4 linked regions of the Lonchura striata genome follow. The protein of the gene in region 1 interacts with the protein of each later gene in a pairwise test. Links are inferred from orthologs where the notes say so. Each region holds a gene or a part of one and is shown in the gene's direction. Other genes may lie near its edges. The genes, in order: NTAQ1, PCBD1, PPCDC and LONRF1.

Evidence for each region.
Region 2: the proteins of NTAQ1 (region 1) and PCBD1 interact in binary tests that used the Homo sapiens proteins (3 or more experiments, as listed by UniProt). The two-hybrid records come from large-scale screens. The link is inferred for Lonchura striata from reciprocal best matches to the Homo sapiens genes NTAQ1 and PCBD1.
Region 3: the proteins of NTAQ1 (region 1) and PPCDC interact in binary tests that used the Homo sapiens proteins (3 or more experiments, as listed by UniProt). The two-hybrid records come from large-scale screens. The link is inferred for Lonchura striata from reciprocal best matches to the Homo sapiens genes NTAQ1 and PPCDC.
Region 4: the proteins of NTAQ1 (region 1) and LONRF1 interact in binary tests that used the Homo sapiens proteins (3 or more experiments, as listed by UniProt). The two-hybrid records come from large-scale screens. The link is inferred for Lonchura striata from reciprocal best matches to the Homo sapiens genes NTAQ1 and LONRF1.

The regions. Positions count from the first base shown.
Region 1 is NC_134603.1:12,563,044-12,570,275, reverse strand, and holds the start of NTAQ1 (protein N-terminal glutamine amidohydrolase), read left to right. Parts: upstream 1-4,211; 5' UTR 4,212-4,244; coding exon 4,245-4,318; intron 4,319-4,892; coding exon 4,893-4,992; intron 4,993-5,631; coding exon 5,632-5,682; intron 5,683-7,232. Other genes in the region: ATAD2 (ATPase family AAA domain-containing protein 2), read right to left, coding at 3,664-3,870. UniProt on the Homo sapiens protein: Mediates the side-chain deamidation of N-terminal glutamine residues to glutamate, an important step in N-end rule pathway of protein degradation.
Region 2 is NC_134609.1:34,047,311-34,054,336, reverse strand, and holds the start of PCBD1 (pterin-4-alpha-carbinolamine dehydratase), read left to right. Parts: upstream 1-4,019; 5' UTR 4,020-4,198; coding exon 4,199-4,201; intron 4,202-7,026. UniProt on the Homo sapiens protein: Involved in tetrahydrobiopterin biosynthesis. Seems to both prevent the formation of 7-pterins and accelerate the formation of quinonoid-BH2. Coactivator for HNF1A-dependent transcription.
Region 3 is NC_134613.1:5,863,331-5,870,315, reverse strand, and holds the start of PPCDC (phosphopantothenoylcysteine decarboxylase), read left to right. Parts: upstream 1-3,976; 5' UTR 3,977-4,218; intron 4,219-5,720; 5' UTR 5,721-5,732; coding exon 5,733-5,885; intron 5,886-6,985. Other genes in the region: SCAMP5 (secretory carrier-associated membrane protein 5), read left to right, coding at 66-167, 327-444, 533-727. UniProt on the Homo sapiens protein: Catalyzes the decarboxylation of the cysteine moiety of 4-phosphopantothenoylcysteine to form 4'-phosphopantotheine and this reaction forms part of the biosynthesis of coenzyme A.
Region 4 is NC_134606.1:27,775,316-27,783,030, reverse strand, and holds the start of LONRF1 (LON peptidase N-terminal domain and RING finger protein 1), read left to right. Parts: upstream 1-4,702; coding exon 4,703-5,300; intron 5,301-7,715.

The DNA.
Region 1 (7,232 bases):
GTGATCCCAGTAACCAAAATCTCACCTATAACATGCAGTTGTTCCACCCCTTGGGAAGGGCCAAAAATTACACTACAAAAGGAGGGGTTTGGGGCAAAAAAACCCCAAAACAACAACAACCAACCAAATAAGCAAAAGAGAGAGAGGAAAGTCCCTCTGCTTGCTTTGGATCAGCTGATGGACTGTGTCACTCCTTATCCCTGAAGGGACACTTTCAGGTGAGCTTTGTGCTTCCCAACTGTCTTGGAACAGACCTGGGAATATTCACTTATATCTACTGCTAATAGATCTCTGTAACTATTCCTTCTGTAACAGCATATTTTAACACTCTGTAGCTGGTGCATTTACCACCAGCAATTCAGAATCTGCTTTCCTGTCACTTCAATTACCTGCCCTATTTGCAAATCTGGATCCTGCAAGTGCCTACTGAACTCGGCCAGGCAGCCAGTGTCCAATGGGCTATAATCACAGCTTAGGCCCAGCTGCCCCCAGCTCTTCTGATCTCTGAGGAGCAGCTGGAACCTAAGGGGGTTCATTTCTGCTAGATTTCTATAGCTTTAATCCAACAAAAAAAATTCCTAGTACTGGGATTAAGATCTTTTTGGAAGAGTTTTCCTCCTGTCTCTGTTCCATTTATAATGGCATTCAGAGGGATATAAAAATACTTCCTTGCAGAGGGTAGCATTTATCCACAGAAAACCAAAGGGAACTCAGCATATAGTTCTTCATGGATGTTCATCTTGTTCACATTGATGTTTCTGCAAGGAGGATGCTATCGACTTTTACTATGTGAGGAAAGCTGCGATGACCATGGGAAGCAGCTTGTTCCATTTACAACCCAAGGTCTCATTGTGAGTATGCCAAACTAAATCTCACACTAAAAAGGGCAGAAAACAGACTGGACTATTCTACTTCTTCACACTAATATTACCAAGAGATAATTCCACTGACTGATGGAGATGATGAGTGAAGAAGGACCACAAAGATGTTGAAAGGTTATGCAGGGAGAAAATTACAAGGGCCACAGCCCAAACACAATTTAATCTAACTACTGCTGTAAAAGACAACACAAAACATTTGTACAAATAAATCAGCAAGAAAAGGAAGACTAAAGAGAATCTCCATCCTTCACTTGATGCACAGGCAATGGCATATGGCAATGGATGAATGGATAAGGAAAAGGCAGAAGTACTTTGCCTCAGTCTTCAACAGTAAGACCAGCAGTCCTCATGATACCCAGACAGGGACAGAGAGCAGAAGGAAGCTGCCACAATCCAGGAGGAAACAGTCAGTGACCTGCTACACCACTTGGACACCCACACTTCTACAGGCCCCAAGGGGATCCCACAGCACACAGTGCCACATCCAGTTACTCCTTGAACACTTCCAGGGGTGGTGATGCCTTTCCCTCCGCAGCCTGTTCCAAGACTCAACCACCCTTTTTGTGTTAAATTTCTTCCTTATGTCCAACCGGAACCTTTCCTGGTGCAGCCAGAGGCTATGTCCTCTTGGTCTGCCACAGGTTACCTGAGAGAAGAGATTGATCACCCACAACCTCCTTTCAGGTAGTTGTAGAGGGTGATAAGGTCTTCCCTGAGTCTCCATGCCTCCAGGTTAAATACCCCCACCTCTCATCTGCTCCTCATTACTTTCTAGACCTTTCTCAGCTCTTGTCTTTCTCAGGATACATTCTAACACCTCAATGTCTTTCTTGTCTTGAGAGGTCAGAACTAGACACCGGATTCAAGGTGTGGCCTCACCATTGCTGAGTACAGGAATCACTGTCCTGGTCCTGCTGATCACATTGTTTCTGATACAGGTAAGAATGCCCAGACAAAAAGGGAACTCAAATATAGTTCACAAGAACAAACTTGTTCAGCTTTGGGAATTATAAACCTCCAAGTAGGGTTATAGACCTGGAGAAACAGGGCTTCCAAAGGGGTAGTAGCCACTTTGGATGTCACTGGGAGACTCACTCATGAAACTTTCTGGGACTGGAAGCCTGGAAGAGAATAAAACCAGCAGATGTTTGATAACCTTAGATCTCCTGTTGTATGCTTCTTACTGCCCAGGGATGAAATGAGCTGTATAACTAAACATAGACAATATGCTGATATCAGAAAAGAACCCCAAAAGCTGCCACTACCATGTCCTTGCACATCAAGACACGAAAGAGGCATCAGGACTTGAACATGAAGCTAGCACCAGTTCTCATGATCTCTCTTGGAGCACTTCTACATTATTTATACACAGACCCACAACAGAGCCCAGCATCCTATAAATGGGGTGATGACTTCACTTCAAAGCACAGGAAAGGTTGACAAAAAGGAAGGAAAAAACCCAAAAAACAACCTTGCAACCAGTTTCATAACTATGATTCTGCTTTGGTTTCAGGCATAACTTTAATTTCCTCATTCCTGTCTTGATGACATGCCAGCAGTGTTATCTGCCTAATGCTGCACAGCCTTCCCTCCTGTGCAAAGGCTGAACGAGCTCCTGACAAACATTTCTAGTGGAGACTGCAAAAACAAAGCTGTGATCTTTAAGAAGATCCCATGACTCTTTGTAAGGGGGGGGGGGGGTAAAAAAACCCACCACTGCAAGGACTTTTTTCCTTTTTAGTTCAGTAGTCTTGAATAAAATGGCACAAAATGTAAAAATATAAAATTAATTCATACAACTGAGACTCATGAAAGACTTCTGCTGGAAGGAAACAGAGTCTTTGAGAAGCATCACTCCAAAGTAGGGCTCCCCTGAAGAGCAGACCACTTCTGAGTTGGATCAGGTCTGCCTTTATTTGTCACAGAAATGCAGGACAGCCTGCAGAGTAGAGCCTGACTTGGAAATAGCAAAGTTTTAGTTTTTTGAAAGCTATATTAAAAACAATGGAAAGTGAAATGATTCAGTTATTACAGTTGCAATGCTGAGATGCACAGGCCACTTGATATCTATCCTTTACCATCTTCTAGTAGGGCAGATCAAGATTATCAAGAAAGATTATCAATAAGATAATCAAGAAAGCTCAAGTAACATTTTCACTGGTTTAGGTTATGCGCTTTAATTAAGTACAGATGAGCCCCGATTTCTAAACATTTTCTTTTTTAGAGCATACAAAGCACTATTTGGATACAATTGACTAAGGAGTATTTAGCAGGCCCTTCGGGCCAAGCGGAACGCACTCAGAGGTCCCATGTATTTCGTGTCGCGCTGGCTTTGATGCATTTCTGTCATCTAAACAGAGAGCGCTCTAAAAGCATTACCGCAACCGATGCAAAGAGCTTTCTAAGATCTTCTCAAGGTAACTTTTTCAGATAGGAATTGCACCAAAATAAACGGGGATGGGGAATGGCATACAACACACCAAACCAGAGGCGATGCAGGTTAGTATTGCCAAAGACCGGCTCTCAGCACGCTGCCACAGCCCCCGCACCAGGGCTAGTGCCGAGCCCCTTTTAGCCGCGGGGCGGCCGGGAACGGCGGGCGGGCCGGCTGCTTCTTCACGCACCCCCAGCCGCAGCCGCCTGCCCCAAACACTCGGTTCTCCCCTTTCTCCTCCAGGGAACACCACTCCGCAGCGCTTTCTCCGCTCCTCCCCTCCGCCCGGCCGGGCCCAGCGCAGCGCCGCCCGCCAGGCCGCGCTCACCCCACCCCCCCCGCACTCACGGCCTCCTCGGCCCTCCGGGCGCCCCTGGACACCGCGGCCCTGGCGGACCCGGAGCGCGTCCATACGCGGTGGCTTCTGAGCGCCGGGGGCTCCAGCGAAATGAACTCGGAGCTGGACTCCAGGAGGTCGAAGGGGGGCCGGCGACAGCGGCTGTCGCGGGCAGCCATGCGGGGCGGGCAGGCAGCGCTGCTCCGCAGCACCACCATGGCGGGGGGAACGGGACGCGCCCCGCGCCCGCCGCCGCGCGCGCCGCCCGGATCCCTCCGCCGCGCTCCCTCCCGCCCGCTCCGCCTGCGGCGCCGCTCCCGCCCGCGCGGCGGAAGGGCACGCGGCGCACTGCGGCCGCGCGTTTGGCGCCCAAAACTCGGAGCGCTGCGGCGCGGGGCGGGGCTGGCCCGGCTCGTCCCACTCCGCTCCGCCCCGCCCGAGGGTCCCTGCGCCGCCGGCCGCCCCTCCGGCTGTACCTGCGAAGTGCCCGCGCCCAGCCGGGATGGCTGCGGTTTTCTCGGGAATGGCGTAGCGGCTGCCTCCACCGGGCCCAGCGCTTCCTGCTTCGCCCTCAGCCCCGCTCAGAGCAGCCATGGCGCGGCCCGAGGCTGGTTATGAGGCGGCGGTGCCGCCCCGCCCCGCCTGCACCTACAGCAGCTGCTACTGGTAAGGGAGGCGGGGGCGGCTGAGCCGGTGCCCCTCGCACGGCCGCGGGGCGCGGGACAGCCCGGGGCGCCGGGTCAGCCCGGGGCGCCGGCACAGCCCGGGCCGCCGGGACAGCCCGGGGCGCCGGGTCAGCCCGGGGCGCCGGGTCAGCCCGGGGCGCCGGCACAGCCCGGGCCGCCGGGACAGCCCGGGGCGCCGGGTCAGCCCGGGGCGCGGGACAGCCCGGGCCGCCGGGACAGCCCGGGGCGCCGGGTCAGCCCGGGGCGCCGGCACAGCCCGGGCCGCCGGGACAGCCCGGGGCGCCGGGACAGCCCGGGCCGCCGGGACAGCCCGGGGCGCCGGGACAGCCCGGGCCGCCGGGACAGCCCGGGGCGCCGGGACAGCCCGGGCCGCCGGGACAGCCCGGGGCGCCGGGACAGCCCGGGCCGCCGGGACAGCCCGGGGCGCCGGGACAGCCCGGGCCGCCGGCGGGAGCGGCGCGGCTCTGGGCTGAGCACGCTCAGGGCTCGTTTCTCGGCACGAAAAATGCAGTTGGAGGAAAACAAAATCAACGACCGGTTATTGTGTTTTGCAGCGAAGAAAACGTTTGGAAGCTTTGTGACTACATCAGGAGTCAGGATCGGTACCCTTTAGAAGAATTTTATGCTGTTTTCATATCCAATGATAAGAGGATGGTGAGTCAAGGGGATGCGATCAGAGCCAGCTAGGGAAAAGCCCGGGCCTTCCGACCGCAGCCCGGTGCAGGTGAGAATGGTCCCAGCCCAGTGTTGGGAAGTGAGCCTTTAGCCCAGCCTGTAGGTGAGATACACCCCAAACCTGTTTTGTAGCTCACTTTGCCTCGGAGGTGTGCCAACCACACCGCCTGAGATCTTTTAATTATGCACTGCATTCAGGGCAGTAGAATGAGGCATGGTGACCCTGTGAGCTGTGGGAGTAATTCTGTTTGTAATCTGTCAATATAGGAGAATAGTTATCTTTATAAAATCATAGAACCATTAATAACCATAAGGTTGGCTAAGACCATCAAGTCCAACTGTTAATCTAGCACTGCTGTGTTCATCACTAAACTATATCCTCAAGTCTTTTGGATGTTTCCAGGGATGGTGATTCCATCACACTTCTTTTTAATGTGGTCCAGAATAGTATCTCCAACTTCATGCTCCTGAGAGAGAAACTAGAAAAAATTTCTTACTGCAATACAAATGTAAGCTGAAGAAATTGATAGCTTAGCAAAGAACTAGCCAGTTTGCCTGAAAGGAATCTGTATTAATCTGAAAGATTTTATTCACTTCAGGTTCATTTATAACTTTCAGATTCCACTCTGGAAGCAGAAATCTGGACATGGAGATGAGCCTGTTGTCTGGGTAAGACATTCATTACTCTCAAAAATTTTGAGTGTGTGTCTCTGTAGTTGATAGCTGCAGGATCACACATGGGCATGGAACAATCTGTTCCATCTGAACATAAAGGAACACTTTCTACTCCGAGGGTGATGGAGCATTGGAGCAGGATGCTCAGAGGGGTTGTGGAGTCTCCATGCTTGGATATTTTTAGAAGCTATCCAGACACAGTCCTGGGCAGTTTGCTTTAGGAGAGTGTCATTGAGCAGCAGGTTGATGTCCTTAAGTCCCTTCCAACTTCACACATAGCATTGTTTTGTACTAATATTTATAATTATTTTACAACAGATTTATAAATAGCCTAAATCTGGTGCTCCTTTGCACCCTCCTTCATAAATTAATAGCAGGACAATCAGTAAAACCTATAGGTGACAGATCTTAATTATAGTAAGAATGCATAATAGATTTGTGTAAATTATTATCTGGGTATTGAGGCTGCCAGCTCTGTGGTATTGTAGGTAGATGACTCTACTTGTAAGAAGTAGATGGATGAACATATTTATGTAGGCCTGCCAGATGATAGAAGAGTGTAAGTTATATGTGTTTTTAGGTGTCAGCAGTGAAACTGACCCATAAACAGTGGCTTTGAAGTGTCATTTGATCAGTCAATGTAGTTCAGTAATTGCTGATGCAGAATTCCTTGGTATCCTTGGTATCCTTATATAGTCCTTTCAGTTATCTGGTACAGAAAAAACTATTTCTTGTGGCAATTTCTGTTTCTGAAGTTCTGCAGAGTAATCTGCAAACTTGTGAAGTTTTCTGATTTCTGAATCATTCACTTTCTTCCAAAATATTGGTAGCTTTCCAGTACCAAAAAAAAAACAAAAACGATTTGGTTTAAAAAGAGATCCAAGTGCTACAGAGAAGACCTAAAAGGGAATAGCAGAGTCAGGAAACACCATGGCAGAATGTGGATTTCTCGTAAAAATTCAAGCATTCAAAGGTCTTTTAACTTTGACATTTCAATGAATGATAGGTTGTGTAAAACTTGTAAACTAATTTTTCTTATACTCTCTAATGGGTTATTCTAAATATTGTTGAATACAGTTGTGTATATATATACTGGTCTGGTGAAGCAGATTGCCCAAATCTTTTTAATTTAAATTTCTTTGTGGTTTTAATATTGAGAGTGTCAAAAGACAGTGCTCAACCCTTTTTGTGAGTGGATTAAATGTAAAGTAAGTTGTTAGGGGCTACCTTCAATTTAATTTTGGAAAATGGCAGTGCACATACCTGACCTATAATGTAACTGCAGTGTCCTCAAATCTCCACCTGTATTTCTTACAAGTTAAGAAGTCAAAACTGCACTGAATAACCTAAAAGTCTTGATAAAATAGTTGCATTGAAAAAGTGATGTAGTACCCACAGATAATTTCCTGTAGCAGCTCTTGAAGCTGGGAAAAAATGTCTTACCCCTGTGGTCCTCCTGATGCGAGCTGTTCGCTGGTTTTTCAGTGGTGTGCTGGTTTTTCAGGTGCTTCTGGCAGCTGAACACTCGACACTCAAATTCACAG
Region 2 (7,026 bases), on another chromosome or scaffold:
TTAACATGCAGCGCCGAGCCCTGCCTGAATAAACACGGAACAAAACTCTTCAACATGGGAAAACGGTTTCCAGACCTGTCGAGATACTCACCCTCCGCCACCCCTGCAAATTTGCCAGAAAATCCAACCTGTTTAACAAAGAGACTCAAATTTGGGCTGAAAATCAGGAAACAAGCTGAGTGAATACAAGGCTCTTCCCTTGTGCCGGGCTCCTGCTGTGCCCAGGGAAGCGCAGAGTTACAGGAATAATCCATCAGCAAGGCAGAGCAGACAAGGTCTGGGGAGGAGGCAGTTTGGATGGAGTGCCTTCCCCTGGGGGAAATGCATGCTGTTGCAGGTCCTGGGTGACCTTGGCAAGGCCACAGACTCAGTGATCTCACCGCTGTCTGCTACAGCCCATGGGGCGAACAAACTCCTGGGAAGCTGGCAGAAAAGACCTGTGACACAGGGGCACGTCAGCTGCCTGGACCCAGAGCCTCCTGTGTGGCTGCAAGGGCAAACTCGGAATGCAAACAGGATTATTGTGTCCCAGGTCTGAGTTTCCTATTCTAAACCATGCCAGAATTGCCTTGGAATGGGAGGTGTCTTCCAGCACTAGTCTGACACGGGAAAAGGGATTCACAGTGTGAAAAATGCATATTTTACAATTGGCTCTTTGCAAATATTAAATTGAATACTATATGTATTATGGAGGGTTATTTTGTAATACTGTATTAATCCTTTTAAGTAGTATGTTAAATACAGTTTTAGGTTACAACATAACATTAAAATAGAAACTATGGGATGTAAGATATTTTTTACTAGCTCAAGAAAGGGATAAGATAATCAAGAAACTCTTTGCACAGAGATAACAGTGACAGGGCACATAAAGAGTTATGGCCTCCTTATCAGAAAAGACAAATATTCTTCCACCTTCTCTCCATCTTTATGGCACGAAGATTAAGAGGAAGAAATTGACAAAAAACGTAAAAATTCTTAATTTTCAAGGAATTTATGCATCATGTATGAGATATATGAATATGCAACAGGCTATTGTTTTAAGGGTTATTCCTTTGTTCACAAGGCAGGTTTTTGACAGCTCGGTGTCCAAAAACATCCGGACATCCCTAATTATTTGCTTTTTATTGTCTCATATTCTGCTAAACCTCATTGTCCAAATTTTTATTATTCTAATGTTATTACTATTTTATAACTGTTTTATTACTAATAAACTTTCAAGATTTTTAAAGACAAGTGATTGGTGTTTTTCAGACACAGAAAAGTGCTCTTGGATACTTTGGACTCAGGTTTGCATCATCATCCTCTGGAAAACCTGAGAAGTAGTCATGAATATGGTGAATCATATTTCTCTGTCACTTGAATTCAGACAGTTTTAGGAAAATCAAAACAAAATGTGCTGAGTTATGAATTATTGTTGTTCTGATCTAAAAGCACGATCACATTTCATTGTTATATGGGAGTTACATGGATTTAAGAGCTTCTCAAATACCAGATAATTCATGAGATAGCCCAATAAACTGGGCATGAGTATCCAAGCTAGCACAGGGAATGGGAATCAAGGATGGTTAAGCAATTTATCCAAAGCCACTTGTAAACTGTAGAAAAACTCAGATTTGTCACAGAATTCACAGAATGACCAGGTCGAAAAAAACCTCCAAGATCATCGAGCCCAAACCAGCCCCAACACTTCAACAAAATCCTGGCACCTGGTGCCACATCCAGTCTGTTTTTAACACATCCAGGGATGGTGACTCCAACACCTCCCTGGGCAGGCCTTTCCAGAACTTCATCACCCTTTCTCTAAAAAACTTCTCCTCATATCCAACCAAGACCTCCCTTCAATGAAACACTGCTCACTGCTATATGCTCTGATATTCCTGAAAGCAGTCACTTCCCACTTTGGGATTTGTGTGTTTGACATATTAGAAGTGGTTATGCCATTTTATTGCTATTTTTTCCATCTTATTTTTCATGCAGGGTACTCTGCCTGAGACAAAAGACCTTAGCCTACACACAGTGTGAGCAGAACAATGCCCCAGTTTCTGCCAGCCTCCACTTTATTTTGTTCATTGCTCTGAGAGCCTCACTGATTTTGATAAAACAGTGCTACAAGAGGAAATCTTGCACATAATTAATGATTCATTTCTGTTTATTGGGCCCTTTTGTCAACTTAAACTTGTCACACCTGCCATAAATCCCCTCCAGTGCTAAACAAACTCTTTAATTAAATCTATTTTGCCATGAGAGCAATGTTTCAGATTGCAGATGATGAAAGAGTTCGGCCCACCCTGGTTTAAAACACCCTTTGGATCTCAGCTTCTCTGGGCAACCTGTGCCAGGGCCTCCTCATGCTCACAGGGAAGGATTTCTTCCCAATATCCCATCTATCCCTGCAAAAGCAAATTTTTAGAGGGGAAATAGAACATTGCTCCCGAGCAAAGCAGCTTTCAGGGTCAGATATGTTTTGATTAAAAATTATCATCAAAATAAGAATACTAATAGTGAGTGACATGAGACCTCCCTCCAAATATGCAGAATCATCTACACATGTGGGTTTAGCTGCCACCAAAAGCAGCACAGCTTTAAAATAGACAAAAAGGAGAGGGGAAAAGAACAAAAATCTGTTCCCAGTAAACAGGTTCACCCCTTGCACAGGGTACAAACTGCTCTGAGCAAACACTTTGCCCAACACCCCTGAATTAATCATTAAAAACAAGCCTAAAGGGTGCCATTTCAGATGGGGAAATTAAAACTGTACAGAAGGGGAACTTAGAGGTTCAGGAGTTGGAGTCAGCCAAGGGATTCCCCTGAACACAATTCCACCCTGTAGAGTGAGGAAAACCTCAACTGCCCGGTTGTTGGACAAAAAAGATGGTCATTTTTTTCCTTTTCATTACCCTGGCAAACAAACCTGCAGAAGGGGAAAAAAAAAATTAAATAAAAATTAAAAAAAAATAAAAAGGAAGGATTTGCTTCCCTCTAAGTTGACTGCTGGAAAAACAAATCATCTCTATGATACCTGCAATCCCTTACAGCAGAAAACAAAATGTGCACAAGGGATGTATGTCATTCTGTATCCAAAAAAAAATCTGGAATTGGTTGCTTCAGAGGTGAAGAAAGACATGAGGGAATAGCAGGGGGCTGAATTTCTGTCTGCCACGTACAGCAGCACAATAAAAATGGTCAGCACTGGAAAACTGCCCATCATGTGAGTGGGTTTAGCAGATGACGAGCTGCAGGACATGGGCACAAATCCATCTGGCCTGGAGAGGGAAAATGCCAGGGAGCAGCACTCAGCAATAGCAAAAAACGCCTTAAAAATGCTGGGAAATGTTGTGAGGGGCACTTCTCCTTCCTCTCAGTCGATATAACCCGGACACTGTCCCGGACGGTGATTATCGGTGCTCTGAGCTATGGATACAGCCGGGAGCACCATCAGCCTCCTTCACACCTGCTAGCAGTATCCAGCGGGGCTGGCTGCAGCTGCCCTGTGAGAAATGATACTCACTTTTACAAATTTTAAAGGTTTATTAAAACCTTATCAAAAATACAACAGAAGACTAAATAGAGAAAATATTACAGGGCCGGGAGCAAAGGATATTTTTTTTCCACTATGTGCTCACCCACACAATGGAGGTTTCGCCTTTTAACCCTTAAACCCCTCCCAAAGTTCTGTCCATGGACTCCTTCGCTGACCAGTGATGGAGTTTTACTTCCTTAAATTCTGATGGGAGGCCAGGTGCTGCCACAGTGACAAGCCAGCCCTCCCAAATATCCCAAACCCAGGATAACAACACAAGGGGGGGGAGGGGTAAAACATAAGTCTATAAAACTTCTAACATATACAGACGATATTTGCTTTTTAATTGTGAGAGTCAACCATGGCTTTACTCTGTTACATGCCCCCTCCATGTCGCTCCACTTCTCCTTGCGCCCCAGGTGAAGAGAGGGGTGCGCGGCTCGGGGGCAAAGCGCATCATGCAGGGCTTCCAAGAGACCCTGTCTGGCCACCCCCCGCACCCCACAGGCAGGAGGCCAGTGCTGGGAAGGCTCTGCTGGCCGTGGGTGGACCCGGTGGCCTCGCCACGCCTCCCAGACAATCGCGGACAAGCCCCGGCTCCGGCGGGATCCGGCACAGCGCGCATCCCCAGGCACGGCGCGCATCCCCAGGCACGGCGGGCACGGAGAGCCGCGGGCCATGGTAAGTCGCCGCTGGGCAAGCCGGCTGTTTGTCGTGCCTTTCGGAAGGCAGAAATGTTGCAGCGGCAGCTGGAGGCTGCGAGGAGAGGCAGCAGGGAAGGGGGAAAGGAACGCAGCGCTGTGGTTAATCAGTAACGCCGGAGCTCCGCCGCCGCGGCTCCGTTCCCAGAGGAGCGCTCGGCAGAGGAGGGGGAGGGAAAGGATCCGCCAGCAACGACCCCCCTCACATTCTTTATGGCAAGGACGACCTCCCCTCACATTCTTTACGGCAAGGACGACCCTCAGGTGTGCTCCATGTGCACAGCCCCCAGCACGCCCTGGCCGGCTGGAAGTCGGCTTTTCCACGGCAGCAAAAGACCCCTGTGGGATACAGCATTCCAGCCCTGCCCGCTCGCCCTGGGCTCCCCTGTACCTTCTCCTAGGTGGAAATTCTAGTTTTCATTAGGGAAAAATTCTTCCCTGGGAGGGTGGGCAGGCCCTGGCACAGGGTGCCCAGAGCAGCTGGGGCTGCCCCTGGATCCCTGGTAGTGGTCAAGGCCAGGTTGGACAGGGCTTGGAGCAGTCTGGGATAGTGGAAGGTGTCCCTGCCCATGGCAGGGGGTGAAACTGGATGGGCTTTAAGGTCCCATCCACCCAAACCATTCCATGATTCTATAAAACAGAAGATTTTAGAGCAAAGAGAGTTCCAGTCTTTCATCATTTCCCTTGCTGGTTCCTTTCCCTCAGTTGCACAATGCATCTACTTGTTTTCCTGCTGGCAAAAAAAAAAAGCCCCAAAAATTAAAATCCAAACTTTTTGGCAGTTAGGAGCCAGCAGAATAAAACAAAATAATTTGATTTTCCTAACAAGAAGAGTGTGTTTTTATGGAGTGAGAGCACATGAAAGCATTAACATGCCACCCTGACAAAACCAGCCTGCTGGCCAATATCCTGGGGTGGAGGAGGATGTTGGAGCAGGATAGAGGGCAGGGGGTGCTCCAGGAAGAGGGTTTGCTCTCCGACACAGCCAGAGGAGTTGTTTCTGTGTGCTCTAGGTGCCAAACCTCAGCCTGGCCATGCCTCCCGCTGGTGCTGGGAGGAGCTGGGCTGGAAAAAGCCCCGGAGGCCATTCTCCCACAGAGTCACAGCGGAGAAAAAGAACAATTACACCATGTCCCCGTGTTGCTCTGCCTGGAGAAGGCTGGTTTGGAGCCCAGCCCCCTGCATCCATACCTCTCTGCTCCAAGCAACAACTCCAGCTTTTACCTTTCCTCTCTTTAGCACGGATAAGGAGCAGGTTTCATCCTGTGCTCCCAAATCCTGGTGCAGCCCCAGCCTATTCCCATCAGTGCCCCGCGGGTGGCTCCCTGCCAGCAGAGCCATCCTCTGTCCCCACCTTATCCAGTTGCTAAGCTACCTGCCTGGCTTATCACACCATCAGCAGGGAAGGGCAACGGCTCTGGGTTTATTGAGCTAAGTCATGTTTGCTCACTACCTTTCCTCCCAGCACAGCACTTTGACTTTTAGGGGGTGGGGAGGGGATGACAGAGCCAGGGCTGCCAGGGGGTCATCCAAAATATGCAGAGGCAAGGAACACTTTCCCCAAAAATCCATTGCACAGAGCTGCAATGCCAGGGGGACAGGAAGCATCCCACCCCCAGTGACACCCTGCACTCTAAGGGTGTGGATATACAGGTAGGTAGGCATCCACAGAGCCACTGGAATGGGGTATCATCTTTCCTGTCTTCCCCAAAACATGTAAGAATCACCCACCAAAACATCAGTTTCACAGCTGGTTCTTCGGTTTTGTGCAGCCTGTGAGCAGGGAAGCCACAGGAGAGGATGATTTGCTTCAGCTGCCCAATGCCATTTCTGAGTATTGATGCCCAAGCGAAGCATCTCAAGGGACTGCTGATCAAATACCCACAAAAAAAACTGGGCCAGGTTTGTCAAGACTCATATCCAACTTGCCACATTTGGCTGTACAGCACATAAAGGAAAATAAATTGCATAGACCTCTTTATCATCACCAACTGGAAAGATCAACTCACACAAACCTGCCAGAGCTCAAGGAGTCTTTGGATAATGCTCTCAGGCACATGGTGAGATTCTTGGGGCTGTGCAGGGCAGGAGGTTGGAGTTTGCAGATTCTTGTGGGTCCTTTCCAACTCAGAACAATCTGTGAGTCTGTGAAAGAATTTTAATTGCCAGGACATAACATTTCAGAGAGCAGTGCCCCTTTGCACTCGCTCCTGCCTTCCCCACTGAGCCAGATCAGAGCTGGCTCAAGCAGCCCCCATCCCCAAGAGCTTCATTTTAGTTTCATCTCTGCCTATAAACACTCCTCAAAACCAAGAACTGCTGCCTCCCCACTATCACCCCTTAAAAACTAAGTACCAGCACCTCTGCCCAAGGCAGAGCTCAACCACAATCCCTCCCTCTGCCCTTTGTTCCTCACAGGCAGAAACAGCCTCTTAAAATCCATTATAATATAAAGGAGAGGAAAAAAGGACCTGAACTGCAGCTTAGTGTGACTCATCTCTGATCCACACCACTTCTTTCTCCTCAAAAGCAGGCTCCCAATAAATGAATAAATAAATAAATATTTTTTTTTTAAAAAAAGCCCTCCTACTTTAGAAACCCTAAAGCAACTCTCAGATCTAGAAATGACCACAAGAGCTTCTGTTTTTCAATTTTTTTTTTTTTTTTAATTTTTTTTTTTTTTTCCCCAGAAAGATTATATATAAAAGAAAATGTATTTTGGAGTTTATCCAAATGTATTTTGGACTTCGGTATCATTTCTTAGTACCTCATGCACTGTGGGAGGTGTTGCAGGTGAGAGGACAG
Region 3 (6,985 bases), on another chromosome or scaffold:
CATCTCCCTTCCCTTGGAGTGCAGCAGGGATGGAGGTGCAGGAGTGACTGAACATTCTCTTGCAGGACAGACAGTTCCTTCAGCTTCATGGCCTTCTTCTTCACCTTCATGGCCCAGCTGGTGATCAGCATCATCCAGGCAGTGGGCATCCCTGGATGGGGGGTCTGGTAAGGAAAATGCTGCTGTGTTGGGTACAAGGGTGGTCACTGTGGTGTTTTAGCATCTTTGCTGGTTCTCTCCTTGGGGAAGATGGTTTGAGGAGTTGGGAGGGTTCTGGCAGTAGGGGAGAGCTGGTGAATGAACCAGTTGTTTCCATCTCCTTGCAGTGGCTGGATTGCAGCGATTTCCTTCTTTGGGACCAACGTGGGCTCGGCTGTGGTGATGCTGATCCCCACTGTGCTCTTCACAGCCATGGCAGTCTTCTCCTTCATTGCCCTCACCATGGTACGGCAGGAAAAACAGGGGTTCCACATCGCTTTGGGTGCCCCTCCTGCCACCCCAGGCGCTCAGCCCCTCTGGCTTTTCCCTGCAGGTGCACAAGTTTTACCGGGGCAGCGGCGGGAGCTTCAGCAAAGCGCAGGAGGAGTGGACCACGGGGGCCTGGAAGAATCCCCACGTGCAGCAGGCGGCCCAGAACGCGGCCATGGGGGCGGCGCAGGGCGCCATGATGCAGCACGAGACGCAGTACTCGGCCACCCCCAACTACACCTACTCCAACGAGATGTGAGCAGCAGCAGGACTCTGTCCTCGGGAGGAAGAGCTGGGGGGGAAAAAGGGAGGAGGAAGCCTGAGCCGAGTTTCTGCAGCTGTCTCAGAAAGTCAGAGTGTACCATAATGGTGGTTCTTTTCCCGTCTTTGTAACGAGATCTTTTGGGATTTTTTTCTTTCCTTTTTTCTTTTTTTCTGTTTTTCTTGTCTTGAGCTCTTCTTTTCTCCTTTCTTTTTCATTCTGAAGAGGCCGTGAGTTGACCTGCAGGGCTCTTGTTGTGTGTGGTAGTCAGTGTCCGTTCACGTGTCTTCTTTTACCCTGTGGAATAGTGTACGGTGGTGGTTTTTTTAATTACTGTGGTGGTAGGTGTATGTTAGAACTTCATCAGCCAAAAGCCCCCCCATGCCCCCAAAAAGGGAAAAAGAGCAACCAGCACCCATCTTCCCTCTTGGAATAAGCCCCGAACTTTGGGTTTTTGATGTGTGTGAGTTTTCTCTTTCAGTTGGTAGTGTCCAGCCACTTGACACTGTCTCAGCAAGGGCAAGCAATCCTGGGAATTCTCCTTTTTTCTTTTGCTTTTTAACTAGCAGGTGGCTGGCTGATTTAGGATTAAAAAAAAAAAAACAAAAAAAAAAGAAAAAGGGGAAAAAAATATAAGAAACCCTCAATCCTGCTGTTGATATGCTGGAAGCCAAGAGATTCCTAATCTACACCCTGGCTCAGGATCTACAACTTCTCTCAGTGTGTGGTGTTGTAAGTGAGTAGTTTACACTTCGATGTGGAGGACCAGTGTGTGTGTGTGTGCACGTGTGTGTGTGTGTTGGGGAGCAAGGACAGGTTTTCCCTGTGGGATACAACCATCCCATTACAGATTCTGCATCCTGAGTCTGTTTTTTTTTAAGGCTTCTGTTTTGAAAAGCAGCTGTAAAAGCCACAGAGCGTTCCTCAGAGGACCTATGCCTGGGCAAGGCTGCGGGTCAAATCTTGCCACCCCGTATCCCAGGACATCCAAGCAGTCTCCCTGCTCATGGAAATAGCCAGGCCAAGATTTGTTCCCGTTAGCTTTGGAGGTTTGTGCTAATTTAATTCTCTTAAGGAGACCTCCAGGCTGGAGGGAAGGACTCCTGCTCACTTGTGCTCCTAAAAAGCCTGGTGAGATGTGGCTGTGTGTTTTCCTGGTGCAGAAATCCCTTTCAAGCCCAAATCCTTGCCCAATTTGGGGATGTCGGACATTAAATAATGATCCTGCACCCTAGCAGGAGGCAGCTGAGCTCAGACCAACACTTCCTGGGGAAAGTGACTGGCACACCCTGGAAAAGATTATGAATGGGAGCATAAATGGGATGGATGCTGCAGGGCAGGAGTAGGGAAAGCTACTTCTCTGAGATGCTTTTCAACTCTAAATGCACTTTAAATAAGCCAAATTTTTCTCCAAGTCCTCGAAAAGCAGCCCAAACAGAATCCAATCCAGCCTTTGGCTCCAGTATCTCCTGCCTGGCACAGGGAAGGAGCTCAGTGTGCCACCAGCCAGGACTGTGCAAGTCCCAGGCCCCCTATCTGTCCCCTCCAGTGATGCTTGGATGTGACCCCTACCCCTGAGAATCACCCCAAAAAGGACCTTCTCTTCTCCAGCAAAGCACACCAAGACTAGTTTCTTTTTTAAGGGTGTCACTCCAGTCATTCTGCAATAGGCAGTCGTCTCTTGACCAGACTAAAATGCAGCTACTGATAAAATGCCTGTCTGTGTGTGTGTGTGTATATATATTTATGTATAAAATGTCAGGAGAAAAGTAATCCTTCGCTAAGCCTATTATGTACTTAATCAGGTTTAAATATTGTGCAATCCATTTCTAGCTCGCCTAAAACTTAACTCTGCCAAACCACGTGCTCTGTCATCCGTGTCTGAGAAATGATGGATTAAGTGACTTCACCTCTTGCATTGACAATAAGATGCATCAATAATAACTGTAACGAGCTGTAACTAACAGACATTGCTTCAGCACCTAACCCTCCTCTCCAATGTGTCTCCTGAGTGTGTGAGCGCTGAAATGTCCCCGTGGCTCCAGCCAGGTGGGAAACTCAACCCCTTGTTCTCACCTTGGTTATTTGTAAGCTGTCCCTGCTCCAGGTGGGGCTGATGCAGGTGTGATCAAAGCGTGGTGGTGCTCCCGAAGCCCACGGGGTGGGAGAGATGGGGTGTTCCTGCAAGAGGCAAGAGGCCTCCCATAGAACACAACAGGGCTTCTCCTGAGGTCTCCTTGTCACCTTCTATGTCCTGCAGGCGGCAGAGCACTGCTCTCTCTGCCTCTTCTGTCCTTGCTGCTTGTTCGTAACAAGTATCAGTGGGATGTCCAAAAAACTGCAAAGGGCTGGGCACCACGTGCTGCCCCTGATCTGTTGTGCCTGCATAATCATGGAATGGTTTGTCTGGGAAGGGACCTTACAGCTCTTCCAGCAGGGACATGTTCCGCTGTCCCAGGCTGCTCCAAGCCCCATCCAGCCCGGCCCTGGACACTTCCAGGGATCCAGGGGCAGCCGCAGCTGCTCTGGAAAACCTGTGCCAGGGCACAATTCCTTCCCACTATCCCACCTAACTCTGCCCTCTGGCATGGGAAGCCATTCCCCTCATCCTGTCTGTCCCTCAGATAATGAATACTCAGTCCTTTAATCCACTTTCCCCTGCCAACTGTGTGTGGCTGCCCTGAATCCCAAAGGAAAGGTTTCACTCCTGGTGTCTAGCACTTTCCTAGGCTCAGATATCACCCTGTCACTTGAGGGACCCTCAGACCCTCTCCTCGACCCCGTTCCCCACACGCCTTCTACCGCCGAGTTTTTTTGTCTTTTGTTCCGTTCCAAAACCTCCCCACGAGCCAAAATCCCCGTTAAGATTGCTTCTTGAGCAGCCTGAAGCCACCCCCTTGCCCTTGGCGAGATGTCTCGCGTGGGCACGACTGGGGCACAGAGTGGCACCAAGCGCTCAGGGTGGCAGCACTGCCGCCATGACCCGGGACGGGGCCGTGAGGGGCCGCCATGACACCCCTTCCTCCCCCCGGCCGCGCGCGCTGCCCGCACCAATCAGCGCTGAGGGCGGGAACAGTGTGCACCAATCAGCGCTGAGAGACGGAAGCAGTGCGCACCAATCAGTGCGTGGGCGGGAGCAAGGCGCACCAATCAGCGCTGAGAGCGGGAGCAGTGCGCACCAATCAGCGCCGTGCGTGCGCCGGTTCCCGGCACCACCACCCCCCCCCCCCAGTTCCGGTCCGCCCCCCGCCGCGGCCCCGCTGCCCTCACGGCCCTCACGGCCCTGCCGGTTCCACCGGCCCTGCCCGGGGCGGTGTCGGAGCGCTGTGTCTCACCTTCTGCGGGCCCCCGGGGCTTCCCGGTCCTGCTGTGCGGCCTTTTGGAGCCGCTTTCAGCACCGCTACCGCATTAAAAGTCGATTTAATGAACCTTTAGGGGCCTGTAAATTGCTCGTTTTCTAGTGGCTGCTTCCCCACAGCTGTGTTTGGGTAAGAGCAAAGCGCGGCCCAACAGGTTTTTTAATCGTTATATTACATATATTACTGTACATACACCTTTTACTATAATCCTCTACTGTTATTTTATAATTTTTACCACTATTTTGCGATTTTTGCCGCTATTTTTATATTTGTACCATTTAAAAATTTGACCTTTTTACCACTGCTTTACTGTATTTACCATTATTTTACTATTTTAATAATTCTTTTCTAATTTTATAATTTTTATCCTTTTCATCATTACTTTATAATTTATAACCATTTGGAAAGTTTCCTACTTAAAAATGTACGTTTCAATACCCAGGCTTTAATTTGTGGATGCTTCAGTAGAATTGTGCACATTTTGGAAGCATCCAAAGGATGCTTTAAGTAGATAATAACTTTTATAATTTATAAATAATCATCATAATCTGATTTTAATTAGATATAGATAAATATGTGAAGTGTGGTGGTGGCATTAAAATCTCTCAGCCAATGTTCTGCTACATTTCCTCACCTCTTAATTACCCTTGCTAATCAGCAAAGCTGAAATTGGGCTTTTAGTGGGAGGTGTCCCTGCTCATGGCAGAGGGTGGTATTTGGCAATTTTAATTTCCCTTCCAACCCAAACCACGCTGTGGTCGTGTGAAATTCCTCTCTCCAGACTCTGAGTTCCTCCCAAATCATCAGCACAGCCTGTGTCCATCTTCTTTCCGCCCAAAGTGATTGCAAACACTTTCTTTGAGCAACAAGGACATCACTAAAATGCAACAAACTTTACTGGTTGCAGTGATTTTTCAAGAACTGAATTTACTCGTTGCTGCTTAATCATTGATTGATTATATTTGAGACACTTGTGTCATTTTCTCCACCGAAACATTAATTCCTGTTTTTTTATCAGTGTGGCAGCAGCATAGGAAGGCCAGGAGGAAGCTGCAGACCTAAATTAGAGCTGCTAGGGAATTCTGTCTAGTGCTGCTGTTAATATTTAGGAACACAGTGAGAAACAAGATTGTGCATGCAGAGAGGCCCCACATTTTTAATTATTAAGACATCTCTGTGCATTTATTAATCACCAGAAAGTACAGAGGGAAAGCAACTCAGCAAGGGTTTGTTTGCTTTTAGAGAACTTGGCGTAAAATTTTATCTCAAATTGATTTATTTATCTGCCCTAAATTCTGGACTGTGTTCAACATGTGGGAGTCTTAATTTTGGAGGGCATGAACTTTACCAGGATGCTTTTGTGGCCTCTCTGCTCAAATTTTAGGAGCCTGTTTCCCAGTATCTTAGAGAAAAATGTAATTAAACATTGAGCTACCCTTAAAGTTCTGCTGGTGCTTGAAATCCTTGTGGGATGAGTGGCACCTGGGGGGTGACCCAGAGTCATCCCATGGTTCTGGCTGGCTCTGGGTCCTGCAGAGTCCAGGTCAGATCCTCTTGGGAATGTGTTGGGGTTGGAGCTGTGCTGGGAGGCTCTGTTAGTGCAGTGTCTTTGTTTTCCTGTGCCTGCACAGCTGCACTGGAGCATGGAGCCCATCTCCCTGCCAGAACCAGGCACTGCTGCAGGAAACAGCTCATCTGTGGCACAGGAAAAGTTCCATGTGCTGGTGGGAGTGACTGGAAGCGTGGCTGCCCTCAAGCTGCCCCTGCTGGTCGCGGAATTGCTGAAAATCCCTGCGGTGAGTGAAGCTGTTGGTGGAGCTTTGTAAAGTTGGAGTTACCCTGGTTCTGAGCAGTGCTCACGTGGCTTCTGCTGAAATGACAAGTTCCTCCTCGGGGCCCCTTAGTTCAAAAATTTCTGTGAGGAGGATTCCACCTGTTTTTAAAAATCCTTTTTTCCCCCCTTTCTTCTTTCTTACCATTTTATATTTGAAAAGATTTTTGCTTTGTATCTTTTCTTTTTTTTTTTTTTCCTGGAGTTTGTTCTTGTCAGTCAAGTTATCAGACGTGGTTGCAGATAGAGATGCTTCTGAAACTTGAAATCTCCAGGGTATTGCAGTTTTCCATGGGTGGGATATGGCTTTTCCAAATGTGATCCAGAAAGGGAAAACAGACCTTGTAAAACCAGAAATGGAGAACACAAGCTGCTGCTGTATAGGTTTGTATGGTATTTTTTTACTGTTTTTTTCTGGAGTAACAGAGGTGCCCAGCAGGGGCCACTGGTGACTGATCAGGGAGGGAAATGTGCCTTTTCTGCTGTAGGATAAAGTTAAACACAGAAAACTTTTAGGTGTTTAGAAATACAGGAAATATTTTGGAGCAGTGAAAGAAAAAAGTGGCAGGGGCAAGAGGGTGCACTGAAATCTGCAGTTTTTTTGACGAGATTGCTGCATGAATATCCTTTGGGATGACTTGGGAGGCTGTACCTTGTGGGCACAGTAGAGGCAGAGAAGGTGTTGGTTTATCTGCTTGATCCAAACTGGAAACGGTGCTGGAGGTGAGGCCTCAGTTAATTTATGATTTAGCCTGATGTGATCAGTGAGGTCAAAGGTCCCAGCCTGAAATAAGAAGGACAAAGAAAAATGACATCAGGGAATGGGGTGACCAGAGCCAGAGATAGAGATCTTCTAATCCTCTCCCTCTTGGATTAGCTTGGCTATTGTCCATTTTCCTTTGCTCCTGGAGCTTGAGACATCCTTTTGTGCAGCTGATAGGCAGAATGACCCGTGGTAGAGGGTGGCTTAAACCCTTTGCTTCTCTCTGAGTGTTTGTTTCATAATTAAAAGCTGCAGACAGCTGGACTCCAGCTCTCTGTGCAGCCCCAGAGGTCTGTGACATC
Region 4 (7,715 bases), on another chromosome or scaffold:
CTTAAGACTCAAAACTGTTTTTGGAGATGAGAAGAGACTTCTCAGCACCACAGACAAACTAGGATTCTGGTAACTGGGAAAGAAGAAAGGAGGCAAGCATCTCCTGGGTTCTGGGTGTCACTGCCCCAAATCCAAAATCACCTTCAGGGCTCTTTTGACAAAGTGGGCAGACACCTCCAAAACTGTAATTGAACCAAAAATGAGGATATAGAACCAGAGAATCATTTAGGTTGGAAAATACTTTTGAGATCAAGTCTAGCTGTTAACACAACACTGCCAAGACTACTGCTAAACCACATTCCTAACTGGCACATCTACATGTGGTTTAGACCCCTCCGTAGATGGTGAGTCCACCACTGCTCGAGGCAGCCTGTTCCAATGCTTGACCACCCTTTCAGTGAGGAAAGTTTTTCCTATAGCAAATTTATACCTCCCTTCGGGCAACTTGAGGCCATTTTCCCATTCTATTGGTTGTTTCTTGGAGAAGAGACCAACCGCTACCCCCAGAGCATTGATCAAAATATGAAACCAAACTTGTCCCAGTACTGAGCCCTGGGGAACCCCAATAGGGCCTGGCTGCCAAGTGGATGTCACTCTACCCACCACCACTCTCTGGGTCTGGCCATGCAGACAGCTTTTCAGCCTGGAACACTGCACATGTCCAAGCCATGAGCAGCCATGCTGCTCCAGGAAGCTTTCTCCAGGAGAAGACTGTGGGAAACACTATCAAAGGCTTTACAGACCAGATTCAGTCTGTCCCTTATCCACCGGCAATTGCCATACTATTATACTATGAAGAATTCAGATTTCACACTGAAGGGAAATCCCAATGAGCACTTGACTGTTTGTTAATTAGCAGTTTATTTAGACAGCTAAAAACTGGTTTTGTGCAACAGAAGTCACTGCATTTAACAGATTTCATACAAATGCTAGAATTCTTGCCTTTGCCAAAAGAAAAAAATCTAAAATAAATCTTGTTCATTTAAAATTCTTTTCTTTTGGAAAGACTAGTCTCTGGGATGAACTCTAGTATCCTCAGCTGCTCCTTGTAGGACTTATGTTCCAAACCCTTCACCAGCTCTGTTAGCCTACTCTGGACTTGTGTCAGCACCTCAACATCCATCTTGTAGTGAGGAGCCCAGAACTGGACACAGCACTTGAGGCATGGCAGCAGCACTGAGTGCAGGGGGACAATCACTGCCCTGGTCCTCTTGGCCACACTACTGCTGACAGTCTAGCCCTGTTCAGCTTACCGTAACTACCTTCTGAGACCAAGCTGCAAATGCAGCTTTTTGACCACTCCTAACTGAAAAAAAAATTCAAAACCAACTTTTGCCCACCACTACGTTGCACAAACAAGGATTAGTGTCTGTTTTACTGCAGTGATGCTGAGGATTTTTCCATTTAAAAATCTCTCTGCCAGATCTCACTAAAGCCCCAAAATTCTACTTAACAACCATGAAAATCTGAAACAAAACAAATCATAGTTGATTCTGAGCATCATTTCTTAACCAGGGCTGAAGGAACTCAAGCATTATCAGCTAAGGTCTTCAAAAGCCATTCAAGAATTTTAAATATGGCTTGATATTTCCTTTTTTTTTTTTGGAGTTTTTTTTTTTTTTTCCCTAGAAGAAATGATATTTAAGTGTTTTGTGGTAGAAAAAATAGTTTTCAGGAATATTATGCTTTTCTAAGTATGACTCTTATTTGCCTAATCTTTCTCTTGTTAATTTTATTTTGCCTCTGCTACACATTTCTTTGCAAAAAGTTACAATAGCTGGGTAACTAGCATTTACCTTCACAGAAAAAGAGGAGAAACAGCCAGAAAGCCATTCTTTCTCTTAGAATACAACCATATCTTTTGGGTTAACTACTTCTTCATGGGGTATATGCCTAGAACCTGTAAAAATGGGGCTTGGCTCCAGATTTCCAGTATGTAGGCATTAATTTTTAGGTCCACTGCCTGTTCCCTAATCTGGGTTGGTCTTGCTTTACTTTGTTTATACTGCTACTAATTTCTGAAGACCTTGAATCACAATAACTGTGCTTAATTTAACTAAAGTGGGATCAAATACAACTTAAACTACTGTTTTATTGTCATCTCATGTAGGTTGCACACACTACTCATACAAGGAATTGCTTCAAAAATGTCCAACCAATACCTTAAAAAGCATAAGAAAGGAATTACTCCTATCTCACTATACTGAAGGCACAGTGCTCTGCAGATACCTTCCTGAATGAGAACCACCAACGTCCATAACCAGCAGTACAATACTGCTCTACAGCAGGAAGGGAAACGACAGTCCCTGAAGTCTTTCTTAGAACGGCCCACATGAACTGCACAATGGCAAGGCTTTGCTATTTTAAAATATCATTTATCTGACCCTACAAGCAAGGAAAAAAAAAAAAAAAAAAAGGTTTTTTGAGTGTGCTATTTTAATGGAGTGGTGGTGGAGCTGCCTGTTATCTAATCTTGAAAATGTCTTTTTCCCTCTCTTACATAACGATAACATCCTGATGGTAACACAGTAAAAATGTTGAAATTTGAAGGCTTTTTCCTTGTTTAGTTAAATATGCCAAAGGTGGAATAATACACCAAAACCAAAGCTCAGAGAATCAACTGTAGTTCAAAGACACAAGAGTGTTAACATTGGGTAATTTCACAGTCTAACGAGGCTCAGTATCATTTCCAACATGGATAAAAAATAATGTCTAGAGAATAAGGACCAGGTGAATATATAGTCTAGCTTTCTTGTAAATAATCTCCGAGATACAGATATTTCTACAACTAGTGAGAGAAATAAAAAATGTCAGGTTCCCTACCCATATATTCATTCATCCTACTTCAAATCCCTTTTTTCACTGTTTCAGTTTTGCAGGGAAAGATAATGGGGAAAAACCTCAAATCTTCTGCTCCAAGATGTTAATGCTGGCAAAGCCATGAGTATTTTGTGCCTTTACACTGGAAATTATGTAAAACAGCTGATTGCATTGATTGCTTGAATCACTAATGTATGAACTTTAATAGGAATTATGGTGGCAATGGTGGAAACATGTTTTCATTTCTACTGTTTTAAATTGTTTCATCAGAGGACAGCTTTACTATTCTAATTCCAATCCCACAAGCCCTTGGGGTTTGTCCTGTTTTATTTGTCTTCTGTATTTCCACAAGTAATCTAATCTGGAATGCAAAATAAACTACTGTTTAACAGTACTTCTTTCAGAGAAGTACTTTTGTCCAAATTGGCTAACTCAAATTCTTTGTGAGGGGCCAACTCATGCTTGACATGTCCACACCAGAATCCGTAATCTATTAAAACCATTCATAATAATTCAAAGCAATCCTCAACATCCCATCACAACTCAAGTTCATATTACAGATATCTACTTTACTTTGATCCTTAGATCAAAAGATAAAAAATTTCCTAACTCACTCAATTTTTTAATTGATTACGGTAAGAGACCATCTTTCCTATCCATATTTAAAATATACCCATGGTGCCCTCATGCTTCAATTACCATAGCATCTTTTTTCTTTGACTTTAGGAACTTGAAAGCCACTGGCAAAGGACCAAGCTTAGAGTACTGAGGTCAGACAAAACACTTGAATGTAAATCCAGATGTGTCTAGTTATTTCCAATCATGCCATGTTTGCCTACAGCTCTCTTAACAACCTTTAGCATCATCTTCCAGCCTGCCATACATGGAACACAGCTGAAGATATATACAGCTTTGCTCCTTTCGTACAGTCATATATTAATTTTCTTGATGTGCAAGCTTTCCTTGGAAGGTTTTAAAGGTACTGCTATATTTATCTGAAACGTCTGGATATATGACAGACTTCTAACGTTAAAAAAAAAAAAAAAAGGCACTGTAACAATTATAAATACATAGCACTTATGCAATAGGCTTCAAGCTTCCTTTAGAGGCTGGCGTTCACCTGGAAAGCCTGAGCATTTCCCAGTGGGACTACTTGAGGCGAAACCGATCAGGTGCTTCCCCGCAGAGCCCGCCTCGGCAGCACACTGGCGGGGAGCGCGGCTCGCTGCCCGCCGGGCGCGTCCGAGTCCTGCGAGGGCTGCGAACACTCGGGGAGAGAGGGGGGGAAACAAGCCCTAAGGACAAAGAGCTTTTCCTTAACCTTGTAACTTTTATCTTATCGTGTCCTCCATTAAAAGACTAACAAAGAAGGAAGAGGGGCAAGCCCAAGCGGCCCAAGACGAGTGCGAGCAGCAGCCGCAGGGAGGGCGGCGGGCGCCCGCCGGGCGATGCCTCCGGGACCACGGCAGCTACAGAGCCCCGTTCCCCGCTGCAGACCCCTCTCCCGGCCCCGGTGACTGTCCCTCTATCCCTGCCTCCCGCACAGCCCTGCTAGCGCCCGACCCTCACCACGGCAGCCGCTCCCCGGAGTCAACCCGCAGGGCCGTCCCTCTGGCCCCGCCAGCCGGCCCGGCCGGGGCGCGCCCCCTGCCCGGTGCCGGCGGGCCGCGGGGGGCTCCGGCACCGCCGCCCCCGAGCCGGCCGCTCCCGGGCGGGCCCGCCCCGGCCCGCCACGTGACCGCGCGGCTGGCGGCGCGCGCGTGGAGCGGTGTTTTGTAACCTCCCCCCGCCTCCTCCCGCCCCCCGCCCGCGCCGAGCCCGGAGCCCGTCCCGGCGGCCGGAGCGGGAGCGCCACACCCCCTTCGCCGCAGCCGCGCAGCCGATGGCAGCGTCCTCTCCCGCCGCCGCCGTGGGCTCGGAGCTGCCGCCGGAGCCGGGCGGCAGCGGGGGCCCCGGCGAGGGGGCGGACGAAGAGCGGGAGCTGCCGCTGGCGCGGCTGGTGCCCGCGAGCCGCCTGAAGGAAGCGGTGGGCGCGTCCCTGGCGTCGCTGTGCCTCGGCCCCCTCGGCGGAGCCCAGCGCCTCGGGACCCTCGTGGACTGCCTGGTGCTGAACTACCGCCTGCGGCAGGGGCCGCGCCGGGGCCGGGAGCGCGGGGCCGAGGGGCCGCTGCGCTGCTGCGGCTGCCGGAGGTTCCTGGGCGAGCCGGTGACCGTCCCGTGCGGGCACACCTATTGCCGCCGCTGCCTCCGCAGGGAGCTGCGGGCCCGCTGCCGCCGCTGCCGGGACTGGCTGCTGCCGGCGGGGGGCACCAGCACGGCCGCGGCCCCGCTGCGCACCAGCGTCGTCCTCAACCGGCTGGCGGAGAAGTGGTTCCCGGGCGAGTGCGAGAGGGCGAGGGCAGGGACTCGGCTGGAGGAGCTGCTGACCCAGGGCCGCTTCCGAGAGGCGCTGGGCGCCGCCAACCAGGCTCTGCGAGCAGGTAAGGCTGTGGGGAGCGCTCCCTTCCTCCGCCCTGCCGCCCGCCGGGGCCGCGCGGGCTCCGCCGGTGCCGCCCGTGTCCCGGCGGGACCGGGGCGGGCTAGCGGCCCGGGGCGGCAGGCTCGGGGGGCTGGGGCTGTGGTGGAGTAGGTGGATGCGCCCTTATCCCCGAGTGCGGCGGGACCGCCAGCCATCGACGCGTGCCGATGAAGAGCGTCCGAAGTTTTCTCGAGTTTGAAGGGATCCGAGGAACCTCTCCATTGGGAGAGCGGAGTGGAGGGGACGCGCGGCTGCCCGGCCCTTGGTTGGGCGCCCAGCCTGCTAGTGGGGTACACCTGCTTCTGCTTACTCCAGAGGGGTGGGCGAGCGTCCCGCATGGGCTGCGGTCTGTCTCCCCCCGCACGCTTCTGTGGGACTTGTTTACAGAGGAGTCCGTGGGCTCTGCTTCGGTTTGTGTTGGGTAATCGCTGTGCGCGGGCAAAGAGAAATTCCGTTGGTGTATTTAACCTTGTTTCCTGAGAGAGAGAGACCTATTTTCAGTCTTAAGTGTCACCAAGACAATTCCCAGCAGGCCGGGCCGAGTTGCATAAGCAGACAGGCACGGAGGGGGACAGGTTGTGTAATGGCAGTGACATCATAGGTGGGTGTGGTTGGAGTTTTATATAGTGTTGAAGAGGGTCCAAAGAGGGGAGGTAGAGGCACGCTTTTAGGCTATCCTATATCCGTCGCAATCTGGCTGGTACCATGGACTCCTAAGATACGCTCAATTTTTCAAAGTTTACTCTTTATAGAGAGTCAAATTTATGTGATTGATACACCTAGATGGATCCAGCGAGGGATTCCTTCGTTATTTTAATTTGACTATGGATTTTAACACCTGGTGACATGGGAGGTTCTGTTATGAATTATACCAGGATATTTTTTTTTTCTGTTCGGTAATTTAGAAATTAATATTTTTACAGATTAAGTGTATTACGTTTATACAGTTGTCTGCAGTGGAGATAAAAAACCAAAAGCTTGCATAAGTCTAATCCTTCCAATCTGTTCTGGGGAGATACATTAGGTCTAGCTCCAGAATAAACTGTTCTCAATGTAGGTGGGATTAAGTCGAATATCTATTTTATATGCTTTTTGGCAACCTAATTTTAAGGGGTTTAGCTTTGGTTATTGATTTTACTTTATTTTCCAGGGTGTTTCCAAAGTGTAAGAATACAAGATGGATTTTAAATCTTGAAACTATAAGATGCAGACTTCTTCCTGAAGTACAGCTTTGACTCATACAGGTCAAAAAGAAATCTCAGTAGTTTCCAGGGTAAAATTGATGAATCCAGTACTGATCACATATGTTTACAGGGCTCCTTTTTCATGTTTCAAGACTGCTTTGAAAGAATAAAAGACTGAAATAATTACACAGTTTTTGTTAATCTTTCTTTTATGGATTTAGGAAGATTATTTAGATATTCCTAAATATGGGGAAAGAATTTTGATTCTTTTTTATGTGAATCTGCATCTTCTTTTTGGCTTCAAAATGGGTTTGAAATTTGAGTATACTTACCAGCTGTGATGCTTGTTCAAAATTTTATTATTCAAGTTCAGTACATGTGCTATAATTAAGTATTAGAAGCTCAGTTTAAGGTCCATTGTACCGTTCTTTCCTGTGTCTTCAATCCTTACAATTATCAACATTACACATATTCTGGAAAAGATACTGAAGAACTTTGGGCATCAGTGTGTAGGCATATGTTATGTGAATTTAGAACTGCGGATTCACAACCACAAATTGAAGATGATTCCAGGTCAATAGATAAATTAATAGCTGCTGGTATACTTTCCATGTTCCTTCAAACCTTGAATTTTGAAGACACTTAGAGATGGAAAAGATGTAGCATAAGAAATGTGTTCATGTTTAAAATAATTCGTGTTCCATTTCAGCGTTTCCTTACTGCTGCTTCATCTGTTTCTTTTTAATGCACATAGATAAAAAGTTGTGATAAACTTAAATCTGTCCTAAATACGTCATTGATGGTAAACCTCTACTCAAATGGCATCTTTTCATAACTTTCTTCTCTTTCTGAAACATTTGAAAGAGTCGTATTTGCCCTTATACAAAAGTGACTTTAAAAACCAAAATAATGTTAACATTCATATAGCTAGTATATTCCTTGCTGAAATGAAATAGCTTAGTTAAAGGAGCTCTTTTAAATTAAAATACAAGTGCAGCTTGCCTTTAATCAAGTGTCCTGAAACACACCACTAGTGGGTTGAATTTGATCTGATTCTCACTCATTCCTTCTCGAGTGGACATCAGGAGATACGTTGAGCAATCAGTCTCCTGTTTAAGCAGAACAAATACTGTGATCAGAGCAGTTTGCTTGAGGTTTTGTACAGCTGGATCATGAAAACCTACAAACTGACA